3 linked regions of the Saccharomyces cerevisiae S288C genome follow. The protein of the gene in region 1 interacts with the protein of each later gene in a biochemical or structural test. Each region holds a gene or a part of one and is shown on either strand. Other genes may lie near its edges.

What was found. The genes of interacting proteins can lie anywhere in the genome.
Region 2: of the proteins of HTB1 (region 1) and BRE1, one has a biochemical effect on the other in vitro, tested with the Saccharomyces cerevisiae proteins (6 studies listed by BioGRID, with this or other methods).
Region 3: of the proteins of HTB1 (region 1) and RAD6, one has a biochemical effect on the other in vitro, tested with the Saccharomyces cerevisiae proteins (5 studies listed by BioGRID, with this or other methods).

The regions. Positions count from the first base shown.
Region 1 is NC_001136.10:911,672-919,540, reverse strand, and holds HTB1 (histone H2B), read left to right. Parts: upstream 1-4,828; coding exon 4,829-5,224; downstream 5,225-7,869. Other genes in the region: chromatin-silencing protein SIR4, read right to left, coding at 1-1,970; adenylate kinase ADK1, read right to left, coding at 2,387-3,055; HTA1 (histone H2A), read right to left, coding at 3,613-4,011; CRF1 (Crf1p), read right to left, coding at 6,039-7,442. UniProt on the Saccharomyces cerevisiae protein: Core component of nucleosome. Nucleosomes wrap and compact DNA into chromatin, limiting DNA accessibility to the cellular machineries which require DNA as a template.
Region 2 is NC_001136.10:323,547-330,379, reverse strand, and holds BRE1 (E3 ubiquitin-protein ligase BRE1), read left to right. Parts: upstream 1-4,230; coding exon 4,231-6,333; downstream 6,334-6,833. Other genes in the region: YET3 (Yet3p), read left to right, coding at 1-544; AHK1 (Ahk1p), read right to left, coding at 813-3,767. UniProt on the Saccharomyces cerevisiae protein: E3 ubiquitin-protein ligase that mediates monoubiquitination of histone H2B to form H2BK123ub1 in association with the E2 enzyme RAD6/UBC2.
Region 3 is NC_001139.9:389,711-395,004, reverse strand, and holds RAD6 (E2 ubiquitin-conjugating protein RAD6), read right to left. Parts: upstream 1,020-5,294; coding exon 501-1,019; downstream 1-500. Other genes in the region: GEP7 (Gep7p), read left to right, coding at 1-39; protein kinase PKP2, read right to left, coding at 1,307-2,782; YBP2 (Ybp2p), read right to left, coding at 3,015-4,940; DUO1 (Duo1p), read left to right, coding at 5,294-5,294. UniProt on the Saccharomyces cerevisiae protein: E2 ubiquitin-conjugating enzyme that accepts ubiquitin from the ubiquitin-activating enzyme E1 and transfers it to a E3 ubiquitin-protein ligase.

The DNA of each region.
Region 1 (7,869 bases):
CTTTCACTTTTAATGAAAGGAGCCTTGAGTACGTTTGAAAACAAATTTAATAAAGATTTGCTTTCAACAGCCTTGGAAACCGGTTCATCCTTTGATTTAACATTCTCCCGGTCAATCTCTGAGGATATTTTTGGAGCAGATTCAACCTGAAAAAGGTCATTAGTTCCAATTTTTATATCTTTTTTTTGTGTAACTTTATGTGTGGAAGGAAGAGCAGTGTTTTGTGATTTATTTAAAGGGTTTTGAATAGTTTTCTTAGCCTCATTTGATGATTCTTTCGTATGCAAAATATCTCGCACAATTTCCTTAGGCTCTAATTTCTTTTGGATGTTTATTGTACCGTTTGAGATATTTGGAGTTCGCCCTTCATTAGGCTTATGCTTTTTCATAGGATTCGGTATTTCTCCTAGCTGGGGCCTCTTTGATGGTGTAACATTCAGGGTATTGTTTCTCGAATCAATGTGGGATTCTCCTTGTACTTTTTGAAGCACTTTTCGACCATCTATTCGTACACTCTGTATCTGCTTTGTGGTTTCTTCGGTTACTTTGTTTACGTGAGCTTCAGTGCTCATGATTTCAGGCGGCCTCTTACCAATTTTCTTGTTTTCACCATTTTTATTCTTTGCAGAAGTGTTCATATCATTTTTCTTTTCTGTGCTTCGAGAAGTAGAGTTATAGTTGTTTTCTTGGCCTTCATATTCAACAAGAAAAGCAAGTTTTGTAGTTTCTTCATCTCTAGTGGAAAAATTTCGGCTGTTTCTACGCCCTTGAGGTCTGTCAGCTGGACTTTTCGACAAATGAGGTGACTTTAAGATTTCCATCCTCTTGAGGTCGGCGTCTTCCTTCATTTTTTGTTCAGATGTTATAGGCTGATGCTTCGAAGGTGCAAGTGTTTTCTCATCGTGCAGTGTTATTTTATCTTGATCAATGGCGACTTTTTTTGGAGATGGAACGATCTTCTTTGATGTTAGAGTTTCTGTCGTGGCTGACGTCCCATTGGTATCTAAGGCCGATGCGACCGTACTATTTGCACTATTCTCATCTAATTTTACTGGTTTTTCTTGATTTATTTCTAAACGCTCGTTAGTAGATTCCTCATTTATTCCATACACTTCTGTTTGTATGGCATTCGGTTTTGCAATTCCAGGACTTCTTGCCTTGCTCTCCTCCGGTGATATACCACTGTCACCGGCACTAACCTTCGGAACTGATAGTGAATCAGAATGGGCAAAGTTTTTACCTATATTCAACTTTTCTTCTTTTTTTTCTTCTACGGTATCTTTCCTGATAGATTTGTCCTTGGTCAAAGAAATCACAGAGGCGCCGATGTCTGCTGATCCTTTTTTAAGTGGCTTCTCTAAAACAGGCTGTTCGTTTGCCAAGTTTATGCCTAGAATCTCTTTAGAGTAATCCCTTATTTTCTCTTCACTTAGTAAGCTTTTTACTCCTGATAAAAATGAGTTATTGGTTTGTGATGTTGATATCGGTACTATGGTACGTACAGGCTTTGAATTGAAGGTAGAAGTTTGTTGCTGCGCATGCCGGGAAAATGCTGTTTGTTCAAAACTTGCTAGAGACCTGCTAGCATCATGTGAAGGATTGTTTGATTCAATTCTTCCTGCTGACGTTTTGGACCGAAGAAGGGAGAGTAGTTTGCTGTTGCTTATTTTTTCCAGATTTGAGTGAGGAAAAGAATTATAGTTATTTTTTTTCAGTGGTGAGGATTTTGGCTGTTGCAACTGTTTATGGGAAGTCGGTTTTACATCACTTGGTTGATGAGGTGAGGTATGAATTGCGGTTGACGGCCTTGAATAGTTTTTGCTTTTGGCAAACGTGAATAATGGAATTTTAGGTGTCTTCACTTCATTGGATTTTTCTTCTCTTTCAGGAATTTTATCATTCGGGGTTACTGGTTTTTTAGTAAACTTGGGAGTGCTGGACCTATTGGGTGTCTTATTGTCATTTGGCATTGGCTGTTTTCTTCGCTTTTTTGGTATTGTGGGTTGAAGCTTCCTTTTTTTTTTTATCCCCTGCAAAACGATGTCCAGTTAGAACTCTGACTGAATTATAAAACCTGAAAAGCGCTTATTTCGTTATAGGTTTATAAAAAGCTTCACTATTACTGTTATACCGTTTTTGTTTATGTGATGCGCTTTTGTTCATCTATTTAGTAATATGATTTGCGTTCGTTCTCAACGATAAAAATATTGACTAAGTACTTAATGGCAGTGCACATGTTTAAGGACGTTATAGCCAGTTACAAACACTTATGTTATTATTTCATTTATAGTATACTGCGGATATATGTACTCACATACAAAAATTTATTATATTTTCATTAATTTAAAAAAAAGAAAAGATATTTAGAAGACATTGCGCAAGGTCATTAATCCTTACCTAGCTTGTTCAAGATGTCAGCCCAAACAGTAGCAGGAGGTTGGGAAGCATCAACACCAGCCCAGATACCGGTCTTTTTGTAAAAGTCAACAATTGGTTCGGTTTGAGCATGGTAAGCAGCTAATCTCTTCTTCAAGGCGTCTGCATTGTCATCAGATCTTTGAACTAAAGCTTCACCGGTGACGTCATCCTTCATGTCTTCCTTTGGTGGGTTAAAGATCTTGTGGTAGGATCTGCCAGAGGCTGGGTGAATTAATCTACCGGTAATTCTGGCAACCAACAATTCATCATCAACCTTCAATTCGATGGCTTTTTCCAAAGGAGTTCCTTGTTCTTTCAACATTTGGTCCAATTTTTCAGCCTGAGGAATGGTTCTTGGGAAACCGTCCAAGATGAACCCATTCTTACAAGCTGGATTGTTGGTCAATTCATCCTTGATCATGTTAACCATAATGTCATCAGAGACTAAACCACCTTGGTCCATAATTTTCTTTGCTTCCAAACCTAATTGAGTGCCCTTTGCGATTTGAGATCTCAACATGTCACCAGTGGCCAAGTGAGCGGCATGGAAACGCTCTTGCAAATTTGGAGCTTGAGTACCTTTACCGGCACCAGGTGGGCCAATTAGGACCATTCTAATGGATTCTGAGCTAGACATTACTGTTATATTTGATGCTGTGTGGTGACTTTACCAGAGAAACGTTAATGTTTCTTTATTAAAGCTCTCGTTTCTGATAAACCAGGTAATCCATTTCAGAAATTTATGCGTATATATATATACAAATATGCGTAATAAAACTAGCCAGAGTGAAAAAGTCGAAAATCAAAAAAAAATGGGCGAATAAGGACAGAAGCCGCGGGCTGCTGCGGACAGTTCTCCGTGACAGGATCGCGCAATCGTGAGCTTTTTTCCTTTGGTTGTGAAAATTTCGTCACACTATCAAAGTGAACAAAGCACAGAATGTGTTTGCTACTCAATCATGTTCAAGTAAGCAACAGTGCCCAATGAACCTAAACAGAGCAACAGAGAAAACAGGAAGACACAACAAAAAATTTATATCATGCATGACATATGTTACCGTTAATTATATACCCAATAAATTATATATAGAAAAATAAAAAGGAAAAACAGAAAGGTCTAATAGACACTTAATATAGTTACAATGGAGAAGCAGTTTAGTTCCTTCCGCCTTCTTTAAAATACCAGAACCGATCTTATAATTCTTGAGAAGCCTTGGTAGCCTTGGCAGACTTCTTTGGCAACAAGTTTTGATGGATGTTTGGCAAAACACCACCTTGGGCAATGGTAACGTTACCCAATAGCTTGTTCAATTCGTCATCATTTCTGATAGCCAATTGCAAATGTCTTGGAATAATTCTGGTCTTCTTGTTATCCCTAGCAGCATTACCAGCTAATTCTAAAATTTCAGCGGCCAAATATTCCAAGACAGCAGTCAAGTAGACTGGAGCACCAGAACCAATTCTTTGGGCGTAGTTACCTCTTCTTAGCAATCTGTGCACTCTACCGACTGGGAATGTCAAACCAGCCTTAGCAGATCTAGATTGAGAAGCTTTAGCAGCTGAACCAGCTTTACCACCTTTACCACCGGACATTTTATATTTTATATGTATGAAATTTGTTTGTTTTGAAGTTGTTTATTCACTGAGAAATAACCAAATCCGTATGATGATGTAGTATCAAGAAGAGAAGTACAGATTGGAAGTAAATAGATGATGGTTCAACAAGACCAGAAAATCTACAAGCTGATTAGGAGTCTTATTTATATATTTTTTAGGTCAAGACTTATTGCTAGTATTTACGATCCACTGGCTGGCTTCGTGAACGGGGAAGGGGGTGAGAAAAGATTTTGAAATCAACAAAGTGGGCAATAACAAATAACAGCATGAGAAACCACATATCTCTACGGGCGTTTCTTCAACAACGACGAGTTAACTATTGTGCTCTTTTTTTGAGCCACCAAATACACTCCATTCCAATAGCTTCGCACAGTGAGGCGAAAATTTTGGAACAGCGCTAATGAATTATTTGTGAGCTCGGCGAGTTCAAATTTGAAGAAAACGCGGTTGGGTCGTTAACTATGGTTAGACGCTCAATGTCGCCCGAAAGGGAAGGCTGTTCTCACTTTTTCGCGCGTTGCACCCTTTCTTCCGCGAAAAAATGAGAACGATGGATTTAAAATCAAGAGAATTGGCCTTAGTAGTGGCAAATACTACCTTGGTTGGTTATCTTGTAACGATTGGTAAGAAAGGGGCATCTCTGTTTTCTTGATGTATATAAACAACATGATTTGATCATCTCAGATGGTCAGATTTATTAAAGACGTTTCTCTTTCCGCATTTTCGATTATTGTTATATTAAATTTATCCTATATAGACAAGTCAAACCACAAATAAACCATACACACATACAATGTCTGCTAAAGCCGAAAAGAAACCAGCCTCCAAAGCCCCAGCTGAAAAGAAACCAGCCGCTAAAAAGACTTCCACTTCCACTGATGGTAAGAAGAGAAGCAAGGCTAGAAAGGAAACATACTCTTCTTACATTTACAAAGTTTTGAAGCAAACTCACCCTGACACTGGTATTTCCCAAAAGTCCATGTCTATCTTGAACTCTTTCGTTAACGATATCTTTGAAAGAATCGCTACTGAAGCTTCTAAATTGGCTGCGTATAACAAGAAGTCTACTATCTCTGCTAGAGAAATTCAAACCGCTGTTAGATTGATCTTACCAGGTGAATTGGCTAAGCATGCTGTCTCTGAAGGTACTAGAGCTGTTACCAAGTACTCTTCCTCTACTCAAGCATAATGAAATCACTTCCTTTGGTTATAATTAATATTATTATTTATATGGGTATATAAAAATTAAAGTAAAGTAAAAAAAATTGTATAATAGTTTAATAATTTTAATGATTATAAGATATTTACTCGGTTGTAAAATTGTGTTCTCGAAATTACAAATGGTCTCATAGAGGGAATGCGCTTATGCGGCAAGGCAGTTTACTTGTAAGACTAATTATAAGAAGAATAAATAGTGTTGCTTATTAATGACTCAGAAAAGTTTCCACATGATATTTATTAGCTTTCGAAACTTCAGAGCATTGGCTCGTGTGAACAATACTAGATTTTTCCTCAAATTTTAATTCGTATTGCAGTTGCTAACTATTACAATTTTTGTTTATTTTATGCCTTGGAGATTGAACCCTCTGTTGTGATTAACTTCCTGTAAAAACTCCACGCAAGAAACAAAATATAAAAATAAAAAAAAAATTGGTAAAAAAATGAACAATAGAATACGCACGTATAAAAAAATACTAAAAATAAAATAAATGCCACCGACTCTATAAGTACACAGCAATAGTAATTAAAAAAAGACAGATGTCGCTGACTGGATCGTCAGCTGCACTTCAGTATTCCTTGATCCTCTCTCAAGTGGATCCATCCATTTCGGCCCCTAAATTTTTCTCCATCTCATCATACGATATTCCAAGTTGATCTTCGCTGACTAAGTAGGTTTTCCTACTATTCTATGACAATTCAAGTAGTAAAGTGCTTCTATTTTTTCGCAAACGATCATATTTTCCTTTAAAAGACGATAATGATTCTTCTGGAATATCAAATAATCACTCGCCTATGAGCTCAATATGGCCATTGGATGCCTTCTCTACTTCGAGTCCGCCTATGTTTAGAAGGTCGGCTATCATAGCATCATTATCAAATGTTGCATCTCCTTTTTGATTTTCCCGTGAACTTACTGAGCTTGAGCATGAGCTCAAACTTTCAGGAGTATTTATGTCATCACTCAATGGGTACAGCGATTTTGTGCACAACCCATCGATAACACTAAACGGTTTATCACTTAAAGACCAAACGTATAACTTTGGTACTTTTATTCCAATTCTTTTAGAATCCAATATTTCGCAAGCTTTATGGCCAATTTTCTTCCTTTTTCGATCTGGGGTTGGTAAGCTCTCGTCTTCATCTGTTGATTCATCATCTCTATAAGTGACCTCATCAATGTTGTAATCACTATCATAACTATCATTCCTTGGGCCTTCCGAAGAACATGTGAGGTTGGATAAGTCTTCTCTTGAACTATTATAGAGGCAATCAATATCCTTTTTCCTTGTATTAATAGCGACGTTGTCTAGACTAAAGGTGCGATCAGGTCCATCGAGCTCTACTTCGTCGATTTTATGCACATGCTCGTTGAGATGAAAAAAGCTAGACACATCTAATGTAGAAAAATGATTGCATTCACTGAAATGACCATCATCCAAGTTAAGGGGCGTACGGTCCTCAAAACAACTGCTACTATATTTTTTTTCGAGTGGTCTTGGATTTTTCACTCCCTTATCCGTACCATCCATTGGTGTCAATATCACGGCCTCATCAAAGTCGACATCTGATTCCGTTTCTGGATATTGGTGTGTAATACCTCTATTATTATTTATCGATACTGTTTCGCAACTATCGATGTGGTTGTCTACTAAAATATCAACACCAATGTCCTCTTCATCTTCATTAGTTGTTGAAGCCGAAGGACTGTGGTATTGTCGGTGAGATTCACTTTTACTTGTTGGCAAACCGAGCAGTACTACAGCCGAATTCGCCCCGAAGTTTACATCGCGCTTATTACTGACATATGTAGTATTGCCAGCTGACGTGAGCTGGTCATTAAATATATTATCTGCTTCTGTCTTAGAGCTGCTGCCAAGAGACGTCTTTTCCTCTACCTCGTTGGTGTTTTCCTCCCTAGAATATTTATAAGAATTTTTTTTTTTCTGTCTATTACTACTTTCTGGTTTTAATCGTTTAGCACTAATATAGCTACTCTCAAAATCCGAGGCCTTACTTATAGAGGGGTCCCAAAGAGCATCAAAGCTGCCATCATTATTGGATGAAAGGACGACAGTTGAAGAGGACGACGAAAAGGAAGCAGCTGTACCTGTCTCTTTTGGCTTTTTTTTATTTGGACTGTGTGGCTTGCGCCGCACGGTACTGTTAACAGGCGCACTAAGCAACATTTTAAAAGACTTTTTTATTCCGTACTATACCGCTGCTGTTCAGTTAAATGGTAACCTTCTTATAACTTTCTAGTGACCGCAATAATTATATTCCTTCTTTTAAGAAATTTCTCGATACAATTATAGAGGGCTTTTGACTCATTAATCTTACTGGAACCATTGACAGATTAGTCCGAAGAAGAAAACTCTAAAAAATCCGCTAGTAAGATTCAACAAAAAAAAAGTCTGCTTGCTATGAAAGTCTGATTTCTAGAGTACACACCTCTATAGCTACACTCTCAACTGATTGCTTCACTTTTTGAAAGAGGAAGAAGGACAAGAACTGGATTCACAAACTCAACTACATCTCGGTTTATCCGTTTAGACCAAGGTTTTATATAAGGCGAGGTAGAGTTCGGAAAAGGAAACTTTCATCGACTTCCCTTAA
Region 2 (6,833 bases), 590 kb from region 1:
CCTACCAATCCCTTCTAGATACCGTAGGCCTCTCACCTTACTGTTATTAAAGCCGTTCAAATCCTCCACAGTGCAAGTTGCGATCAAGTGTGTACTTGGGTTCATTCTTTTGCTTTTCATCGATTGTATCAACAGAGTGTACAGCATCGACAAAGAGCTGCAGTTAAGTAGCGCCTCTCAAAATAATGGCGCTATAATCGCTCAAGATAGAATTGAGGTTCTTTCTAGGAAATTCTTTGCCCAAAGGAATATGTATTTGACAGGTATAACTTTGTTTTTGACCTTTGTCGTCGTTAGGACTTTTGGGCTAGTCATAGAACTTTTAACCATGAAAGACATATACAGAGCATCGCCTCCAGTAGCCTCCAGCGATGTCAAGAAGAACGACTCTGTTACTGCCGAAGCTGCTGCTCAATCCGGCGCTTCCAAGGATGACCACGGCGATGAGAAAAATTTTGAACTATTGAAGAAAATTCAGGACATCGATGACGAAATTGCACGTTTAAAGGAGAAGTCGGAATCGTTGCAAGAAGAAATAAATTAGTTTGACGTTTTATTCCTTTTCTTCTGCACAGAAGTGTGTATATATATATTTATATATAGTCGATGTGCAAAAGCCTACATTATTTTTCTTTTGATTTTTATTTTTTTGTTCAAGTAGGTTCATGCCGACAGTAAATCCTTATGCCCTACCTAAATATAAACACCCAAATATATATATATATATATATATATATAAATAATAAAAACGGAAAGGAAATAGAATAATAATAATAATACTACACGTTTACGTATGTAACTCATTCTATTATTCAGACTTTGATATTAATAGAATTATTACTACTAGGTTTCCTCACTTCAAAATCTATAAATATACCGTCATGCTCTAATCGATTGGAAAACTCAAAATATTCTCTTACTGTAGCATTGAACGTCTCAATTAAAACACAGATTTTTTGTATCCTTGTTCTCAACTTCATATCTTGGATCTGCTTCCAAATTGTCACCTCCCGCCCCCCAGTAACTTTCAAATCTTCCACATTCTGATTACCAATTTTGGCTACATCTTGCTCATCTTCCATACATTTGCCAAAAATATTAAAATCAGGCACCGGTATCTCAAAATCTAGACCATTACCGCATAAGGTAGCTAAGTTTCTCGTCTCACTTTCGTTCTTAGCAACACTCGCAACCAAATCTTTCGGGACGGGTAAAGGCTTCATGTACTTACTGCCTCCGTGGATTGTCCCCCATTTCATGTTCGCCAAATCTATTTTTTCGACGACTCTTCTATTGGTTTGAATAAATACCAGTTTGAATATTGTAGCAATACTATTGTGTTCCTTGATTTCATTAGAAAATCTCAACTCTGGTGGACCTATCAATATATTCTCCCTCCTATTGAGCTTGATACTTGAATTATATGATACCATTGATCCTGAATTGTTACCATGCTTAAAAATTTTTTCAATATTACTAGATGACTGCTTCGGCAAAATTTCTGCAAAATCAGCCACATCTTCATCATATTCAAAATCGTTGCCTAATTCATTTGCCTGTTCCTTCTTCTTCTGTGAATCTTCAGAAGTACTTGAAAATTTTGAAAGCCAAGTGTTCAGTGTTGCCGATAAAGAACTATTACCTTCCTTTCTCTTATTTTTATGCGAGCCACTATCTTCTGAGTCTTCATCATTATCTTCGTTTTCCTGACCTCCTTCGTAGCCATCCATAATTTTGTGATTTTTTTTGGGATTTAGTCGGGTCTTCTTTTCTGCAAGAAGAAAGGCAGCTTTACTTGTCATTTCGTCCAAAATATCATAAGCGTATTTACCATTTTTCAAGATAACGTTAGGTCTTGTATTTGCCACTGAGCTGACAGAGGGAAATCTTTCTGTAGTTAAATTTTTATCATGATTAATCTTATAAACTAAGTGGTCCTCTGTATTTGGTTTTTTTGGAATCATCATCAAACGTGAGTTACCATTAAAAACGAGAGCATTCTTTCTATGCGCCACTATATCATTTGAATCGTGTTTTTGCATCTCAAATAACTCCTCCTTGTTTACCAGTAGCTCTTCATATAGTTGTTTAATTCTATCATGTGGCAAGAATCGTAATGAAGAAGAATTTTGAACACTTGGAATGATTTTAAAAACTAATACCTTCATAAATAAAATTCTAATCAAAGGAAATTCGTTTTCAAAAATCAATGACTCCCAAAAATCACTTAACAGCACTTTTACTATTTCATCGCGGTCCTCAATGGTTACGTGCTTCCAAATATTGAAAAGGCATAATAAAGAAACAGTCTGGCAGTTAACATTTTTGGTCCTTAACATACTCAAAAGCCCATTGTACCACGACCTCCATTGAATGAATTTCAGAGAAGGTAAACTTTCAAACTGGAAAATAATAAACTGGAGAACCTTATTGTAAATGACGTTCGCTGCAATATAATCGTACGCTGAAATAGTGGAGACATAGTCTATCAATAGAGACTCATGTAAGGAAAGCATATTTTCCAGGTATTCCGGATGATTTTCTTTAAGAATGCATCCTGAAAGGCTTCTAAGACATTCCCATAATTTGATTGTCTTAAAATTAGAAAATACGTAATCATTAATCCTTTCAGATGTAATTAAAGCATTGCTACTATTCAAACTCTTGAAATTTGGATGTGACTCTGTCACATTCTCATTTGCTATCCTTGGATTCGGCGTTTGTTTAATAATCCGCGTGAATTTATTCAAATCTGAATTCAAGAATCTAGTGGTTACATGCGTCAATAAAATTTCTGAGCCAGGTATGCATGACAATGTCGATTTTTTAATTCCTACATCTGAATCAGAGAATTTCATAAATTGAAGTATGATATACCAATAGTGCCAATAAAATGACATAAGTACAAAATCATTTTTAATATAAGAAACAATGATCTTAAAAAATTTAGTATCTTTATTTTCAAAAGCTTCAGTGCGGATCATTTGTCCCTGATCGTCGGTGAATTTATATTGTCTCTTCTTCCATGAAAACAAAGATGTTTGAATACTTGAAGAGATTTGAGGAGAAACTGTCAATAACAAAATTGTATCGAAATGAAAGTCTTCTGGTAGATAAAAAAATGCGTAAGCATTTAACTTCCCGATGAATGCTCGCAGCAAGGAAGAATATTTGTTAAGGTATTGCAGCTTCTTGTCGTTTATAGAGCACTTGTCATCACTATTTGTACGTTTAAGTTTTTTGGAGTTTTTAGAAATCAAAATCAACTTGTTTGTTATGCAATGAATGGTCAGCAAAAGATGATGTGAGTATATTTCCATGTCTCTGGATGAATGGAAAGGCAATATTATTAGTATGGTCATAATTTTGCTGAGGCACTCGAGACACACGGAAGTTAGTTCTATGCTCAAGCTCAATTCAAGGGCAGTATCTATTTGAAGCGAGGTGTCAGAATTTAGAAAGTTTAAAAGTGTGACCCACCATTGGGTCAAAACATCTCTAACCTCCAGTGTACAGTTGCTTCGTGAAGAATCACACCATTGTCTTAGAACCGTTAGTAGTTTCAAGCGTAAAAAATTTGAGGAGGATTTGCAAAATTTTGTATTTTGTTCTTTATTACTAGCTGACTGATTAGCATTGTTTATGAAATTGATAAACCTGTTCAACGATTGAAATAATTGAGTTTCATAATTGTCCATCAAGAAGCCATCTTGAGACGTAGTCTTTAATCCACATTCATATAGTTGATTATGTATGGCAGGACCCATGCTTAATGAGCAATATGATCTTTAGTGCTACAACAATGCGTATATAGCATACGAAGCACAATCGAGTTCAGAATTGTTTCTCTACCCACGAAAGATAATATTGGGAAAATCACTGGTGAAATTCTGAGATCGTTAATTTCAGTGGATTCAAAAAGAAAGAGCAGATCGACAATAGGCACTAAGGATGTCTTCTAACTTTGAAATGAAGCACCAACTGATCGTACTTTGATCAAACCATCGTTATTATATAAAAGTGACAAAAGCATTTGATCACGTGATTATAATCACATCCAACGAAACTTTCTTAAAGAAGGCGAAAAAACAAAAAAGAAGAAGATTAAAAAAAGTTGGATGGATGTTGTTTGAACGGTAAACTAACAGAGAGCGCCCCAAGGTTTTTAACAGAGATAGAAAGGGCTTTCACCGTTTTTATGCTAATCGTGCTAGCTGATAATAATCAGATATGACGGCCGAGCCTGCTACTAAGAAGATCAAGCTAGAATTAAGCGATCCTAGTGAACCGCTTACTCAATCTGATGTGATAGCGTTTCAAAAAGAAGCTTTGTTTAGATGTATAAATCGTCGAAGAGTCGACTTTGAAGCCTTGCGAAAGCAATATGAACTTTCAAGAAGGGAGTGCATAGATGTTTCCCGCAAGTTGGCAAATATTATGGCGCTGATAGTAACTTTAGCTAGGTTTATCGAAACATTCTGCACAGACGCCAACGAGAAGCAACTATGTAGGGAAATAGCCCAAGGCGATGAGACGTTGATAGTTCAGCGCAGTGATTCTTTCATGAAGCTACTGACTAAATATGGGAAGCCAAACACGACAGATAGTAATACTAATAGTAATGCTTCGGATCATATTCAAGAATTAACAACGGAGTTAAAAAACTTGCGGAAAAGTAAAGAGGAGCTCTTTTATGAAAATTCGCAATTGACAGAGGAGATTTCTGCTTTGAAGGAATATTATACAAATATAATTCGCAAGTATGATAGAGATGAATCCTTTACTATAAAACGTGTTTTTAAGGAAGATAAGACTGATGCTGTAAAGGAATTACGGGAAGATGAAAAAGAATCTAATGAAAACAATATAAAATCTGGAAATAAAGACTCCTCTGCAATTAATGGTGATAATACATCCAAAAAATCCGAGAAAGGTGATGAACTTGTGCAGGCGGAGGATGAACGAAAAGAAGATGCTGAGAATGAAAAATTAGAATTGGATCTGAAATTTTCTGATTTACGGGCAGAGATAAACTCCTTGAGTTCCACTATAAAAGACCTTGAAAATATCAGAAGGGAAAACGAGGAAGAGCTCATCAAAACACGTTCTGAGGTATCCAATTTAAAAAAGCAACAGATAGCAGCAGCAGACCAAGACCCAGATTTCAAGTCATATGACCATGAGTCCCTGTTAGCAAAAATTCAACATTTGACTGAACAAAACGCAGAATTATCTGAGATCAATAGTTCCTTTTTATCAAAATTTCAAGTTTTAGCCAAAGAGAAAGAAATATATACGAAGAAGGTCCGAGAAGAATTCCAGAAAAGTCTCGACTCCCTAGTAGAAATGAACAGTTCATTGGAAAAGGACGTTGTAAGAATAAGAACGGCTCGTGATGATTTACTAAGCAAAATCGCCATTTTGGAAGCTGAAAAATCCAAGACTGAAGTGTTGAGCGATTTACAACATGCAATTGATATTTTGAAGGAGCAATGGACAAAAATTGATCAAAGATCAAACGATACAAAATCCTCGTCGACTCAAGATGCATTAATAAAGGAAATTCAAGACTTAGAGAAGGGTTTTAGAGAGTTATCCGACTTAACTCATAAAAAGTACTCTGAGATTATTAATCACGAATCTGTTATATCCAAGCTTACCGTAGAAAAAACTAAGGCTGATCAGAAATATTTTGCCGCGATGAGGTCCAAAGATTCAATTTTAATTGAAATCAAAACTCTTTCTAAAAGCCTCAGTAAATCAAATGAGCTTATTCTACAGTTAAAGGACTCTGATAGATTGCTACAGCAAAAAATAGGAAATTTACATAAACAACTGGATCTTTCTCAAAATAATGAACGCAGGTTAATTGATTCCAGTAAAACAGAGACACTAAAAATAATTGATTTAAATAATACATCCACTAAACTGAAAAGGTCATTAGAAAAGCTACAAGAAGAAAGTAACAAAAGCATTGCAGATATGACGCATCTAGAAACTAAATTAAATGATACAGAAATAGAATTGAAGCACTTCAAGCAGAAGGCATCTCATCTAGAATCCAAGTGTGAAAAACTACATGATACATTGTTCCGTGGTAACAACAAAAATAAGGGCTCGAGCGATGAAGCACTCGTAGAAGAACTAGCAAATTTCCGTACACTTGTTTATTGTTCCCTGTGTTCTAAAAATTGGAAAAACATGGCTATTAAAACCTGTGGCCATGTCTTTTGTGAGAATTGCTGTAAGGAACGATTGGCAGCGAGAATGAGAAAATGCCCTACATGCAACAAAGCATTCAGTTCCAATGATTTATTGACAGTGCACTTGTAATACTAATTATTCTACCACTTTTCCACTGTTTGTGTTATATCCTCCACATACATATACATATAATATATGTAAATCTAGTTTTGTCATTGCTTTTATTTTATTTGCGTACATCCTAGCCTAACTTCTGAATCAAAGAGTGACGTCTACTGTCGCATGTTTCCAAAGAAAAACTCTAATTGTACATATCATGCTGATAATTCCTACAAGCCCTAAAGATTCATATAATACTTTGGGCGGCCGGGTGAGAGAACGCCCGCGACCTGAAAAATTTTCTGTGATTTTTTATTATGACCTTAATCGCGCTTGTTCAAGATATATTTTCATCACAAATGTCCATACATATATATATATATATATATATATATATATCAACATTTGTAACATAACTCTTCTACTGCAGTCCTTGGGGGGAACAAGGATAATAGCAGAATCATATCAACTGGAAAGGACAAGAATAGATTTATAAACGGGTGATAAGATTAATGGTATAGTGAGTTCAC
Region 3 (5,294 bases), on another chromosome or scaffold:
GAGCTGCCCGCACAGAAGAGTACTGTAATATCAGAATAAAAAAAAATGGGGTCACTCTTCATTCTTGCAGTTAAAAGTGCCACTCACTCATGATTTTTTTTTTTCCTGTTTTTTTGATTTTTTTTATATATTATACATTAAGTTATCTAAGTAAATATATTCTTTCTACTCTAAATAAGTATTCCTTGAATCAAACACAAAAGATACGGGTATCGGCAGTTATAACCGATAACAAATTGTCCTTATTTCTCATTTCACGTTATTTTCTCCAAAGAAATTTATGGTAGAGCAGTGTTTCTTTTTAGTATATTATTTATATGCAATGTTTCTATCATTATTAAATTTTCTTTACGGTATAAAGTAGAAGATGGAGGAATAGAAAGCAAACGGATCGATAGAGAAAGAAACTCACGATGAAGCCCTATATTTGATTGAACAAAAAGGTAATCGAATTCATAATATCGGCTCGGCATTCATCATTAAGATTCTTTTGATTTTTCTCAGTCTGCTTCGTCGTCGTCGTCGTCGTCATCATCATCATCATCATCGTCCATATCGTCCATATCATCCTCCCAAGATTTCTCTACCGTCTCCTTAACTCTTTTGACGTACTGTGATTTATGATCTTTGAATAATGTTGCAGCTTCAACGTTTGCTGGCGAAGCTGGATTTGGATCGTTGAATAAACTTTGAATGGATGTCAATATGGATGCGACATCATATGTTGGAGTCCATCTGTTCTGCAAAATATCCAAACAAATTTCACCATTTGCATAGACATTGGGATGAAACATTTCACTCAAAAATTTGACATGCGGTGGCTTATTGGGATATTCTTCATCAAACTCCAACAATAACCTAAAAGTTCCGTCTTCATATGGAGTATCGGCTGGCCCGATAATCATGGCGTTCCATACCATGACGTTATCAGGTAATGGTGAAGCAGATACACCCGGTGGGGCATCTTCCTTCATACGTTTAAAATCTCTCATCAACCTTCTTCTAGCTGGTGTGGACATGACGCTTTATCTTTTAGTCTCTGTCTGCCTAAAAATAATCTTTGGAATTCGATCTTCGTTGATTTTCCACTCTACTATTTATGTCATCAACTCTGCAACTTGATAGTTCTTTCCTTTTTTTCTCTTACACATTCCATTCGCTTTCATTTTTATTTTTCCAGCTTTCTACTCCGGCTACCCGGAGGTGCCTTTTTGTATATACATACACTAATCCGGGAAATGTAGTCACCATACTAATATTCCGAATATGTATTTGTTCCTTGGTATATAGTGTAAGCATGGTTAGCTCACACTTTATCTAATTGTAGTTTCTTCGTATGCTTCATCAAGTTGCCTAATTTTAATACAACATCGGTACCATATCCAGGCATTGAATGCAATGAAAGGTCGCCGTTCCAATATTCAGCATACACTTTACACATGGCTAACCCAATCCCAAGCTTGTATCTAAAAGACCGCTTTAACAATTCAATTAGGGGAGTTTCATATTTGATGTGCCCATTTATGATGCTAGGATAACTCATTGGTTCTAGCGACGTGTGCATGTACGGTTTTAATGTTATTGACTGCAATGACTTCAGTTTGGAGTTATATTTAGTATGGGAATGTACTTCGTCATAAATAGATACTGTTTGTAAACCAGGTAACTTGTGAAAATTATTTAGGGATTCTTGAGCCCTTTCTTTCGATTTACCGAATGACCATAGATTTTCATCATCATGGAGGACGCCCCCAGCTTTATCTGAAATTCTAAACAAATAGGATTCATCGTTACTTACTACAGTTACTATGATTGGTTCCGGCTTTTCTAATCCCTTACGAATATAGTGTTTCATGGTTGCTTCGTAAGTATTTCGAAGGATCTCCCCTAACAAATACTTCAAATGTGTAGGCAAAAAGTAAAAGCTTAGTTGAGTGTCACCTTCGATAATAAATTCTGGCATGGGAATGTCTTTAAAGTACATATCTTGGATAAATTTTTGAGATTCCTCACTGGCTTCCAATAAATATTTTTTAGCGCTACATTCTTGAAAAATATCACCCAATACCAAGGTATTTTCCTCCTTACCACTAGTGTAGTTGGCTGTGATACTGACGTGTTCCTCTACAATCAATCTTCTTGATATTCGAGCTCTTAACAGATCAGATAGTAGTTGGTCCATTTTTTCACGAGGATAAAGATCCAAAATTGTACATTCTAAAGCCCCCATTATCAAATGTGGTAAGTTTAGAGTATTGAAGCCTTCTAGCATATTTTTGATAAAATCTGCAAATTGAGAAGCGTCCTCTAAAGTTCTTATAGTCGGATATTTTCTAAAGCTTTCAAAAATATTGTAATATGACTCATAAACTTGAACAAAATGGAAGTTGTTCACAACATTAAATGGAAGTTGTTGCAATTGATTTAATTTATGCGCGATCCTAATTACCAGTTCTTCTTTTACAAATTTCCCGGAATTGATGATCTTGGTTCTGGTCAGCTTGGTAGAATCGTCATAATATTGCGCTAACTGCGTTAATGATACTGGATTTGGACTTCGTTTTAAGTAATTTTCTACTAATACCGTTCTATTATGATAGTAATGCTGCGGATTGATATATTCGGAATTTGAAGGGTATGCCTTCATGGTTTCCATGATGTAAGGTGCCAATTCTTCATTTACGGGACCAATGCAGTATTTCGTGAAATCAGGGATCTGCGAGATATTAGATGTCCTGAGAAAGTGCCGGTATCTTATGCAATTAATTTGATACTTAGACATAATTACAGAACTATTTATCCATTGACCAATCTCTCACGATCTTCATCTTTTACGTACTTTCTGGGTTCCAATGCAAGTATCCCATCCCTTCCCTTTTTATTCCTTGACGATCGGGCGATGAAATCTGAAAAAAATGAAAGTTTGGATGACTCAAAACATAGTGTTTCCCTTTAATAGAATAATTCGATTTACTCGGGAACAAAAGAGAAGAGCAACTAATTTACTATGTAGTTTACGAGCGTATGTTCATCTCTTCTATATATTCTCCCAGAGTATTATTGGAAATGTTGATGAATGCTAATTCAGGCTCACCTTCTCCTTGAAATGATTCGGAGATTTCTTTATTGATGAGTGTTAACAGACCCAAATCCCATTTGTTCCTTAAACTAACAAAAAATTTCATATATGTTAGTACCAAGAGTAAATCACCTTGCGTTCTTTTCTTTTGCTTGGCGGCAGAAAAACATATTAAAGCAATGCTATGAATGGAAGCCATGCGATCTTCATTAATAGTGATGTAAGGTCTTGGAGGTAGAGTTGGCATTATCGGTACACTATTAGCGGTATTCCCAGGATTCTGTTGTTCGATTAAACCGACAGTTTCGTCACGATTAGCAGCCTCAGGAGATCTAATCATCATATCTCTTAGAATGTCAAGAACAGCAATCTTTGCAGTTATATATGGACAATGTAGTAGAGTTTCAAAGATGAACGTAAAAGATGTGCTTTCGGGCATGAGATAGAGTAACCTCCTCAGAAGAGTAATTTCGGTCAACTTAGTGTCGTTATTAGATTCATTGCAAGTTTTCATCAGTAACATCTGCAAAAAGGCCGTGGTAATGTGCCCTGGAAGTTCTTGTAAGGCACACTTTATTTTCTCTGTGGAAGTCTCGGTTGTGGATACCCATAGCCAGTAGCGTACTGAACTTTCCAAAAACTTATTTTCGTATATTTCTGAAAATAAAGAAGCTGTCGTACACCGTAGATAGAGGTAAATTGCGCTTTGGATATCAATTTGCGGCAATAAGTGAGTACCATTTTTAGAATAATGTATTGCAGATAGAATCACAACTCCATATTGGTCCAGCTCTAAGTTCTTTTCGTCAGCTAGTTTCTTGATTTGATATGCGTAAGATACCTCATATACTAGTTGGTTAATTTCTTCTTTGAATTCGGGCGTGGAAGCGGCCGGGTTCATGAGAAGAGAGTTATAGATGCTTCTTGATTCTACCAGGCACTTTTCTAAAAGTTCTTTCATGTGGACATCCAATGATGTGACATACTCGTAGTATTGGTGGCATATCTGTAAAACTGAAGCATCGATTTCATTTTCATCTGTTTTTTTATGCATCAATGTTTTGAAATATATCTTGTCAATATTACCTGGATGATTTTTTAGGCAGTTGCTAATCACGAATACGCTCAGATTAGCCAGTAGTTTTTTCTGTAAGGCAGATTCATCATCATGAATTTTTTCAAGATCGTTTGTACTAATACCATCGGTCAGACTAGCAGATGGTTGAGCTGGAGAGTAATTAGTACAAAAATTGTACACTATGCGCAAAATAAAGTGTGGATCATCCATAGCCTGAACGTTGGTTGTTACATACTTAATAATTGCAGAAGTTACCATGGCTAGAAATTTAGATGGATATAAAGTGTCCACACGTTTCAACAATAAACTCATAAATTCAAAGAGAACGTAAATTTTCAAATTTGGAATGAATTCTACTGTATTTTTGGCCATATAGTGCCCAATCTCCGGAGTGATAACTGACAGCTCATCAGTAATGTTTGACGCATCATTTCTATTGGAGTCATTTAAATCTTCATTCTCTTCATCGGAGTCGCCAGTTTCAGTTAAGACTATATGGAGTGTTGACACCAATTCGCAAGCGGTCAACAAGCATTCTTTCGGATTTCCATTGATGGCTAGCTCATTGAAGCATTCCATCACACTAGAAACAAGGGGACTAAAAACTAGATGTATATTGACATTGATGTTTTTGCGTGAGAAAAACTGCAATAAACCCTTTGGCAGATCCCAGCCAATTTCCTTTAAGGTAACTGGATTATCCTTAAGTATTTTCAATAGGGCATCCAAATAACGTTCCTTTTCTTTTATAGACTTTCCAGAGTTCACCTGCTCGTTGTACATATCAATGATTGTTACAAGTGAGACAAAATCATCCTTCTCCTCTTGGAAAGCCCTGACAAGGCTTTTACAAATTGTTTCAATTGACTCACCCATACTTTCTGAGCCCTTCCTCTTGACGGTGAGTTCTTTTAGCCTTTTAGACCCAGGATAATATGTATTTTCCTTTATTCTTAGATGAGAGGTTTTTGGACCTCAGCGCAAGTTAGTTTCACAGCGAAACGAAGGAAAAAAGAATAATAATTACAAACAAACGCCAAAATCAAACGCGATAAAGAAAGATAGGCTAAGTAATCTGGACTGGTGACTCAAGTATTACTAAAGAAGATAATTTGAAACTTGAACAAGTCTTCAATA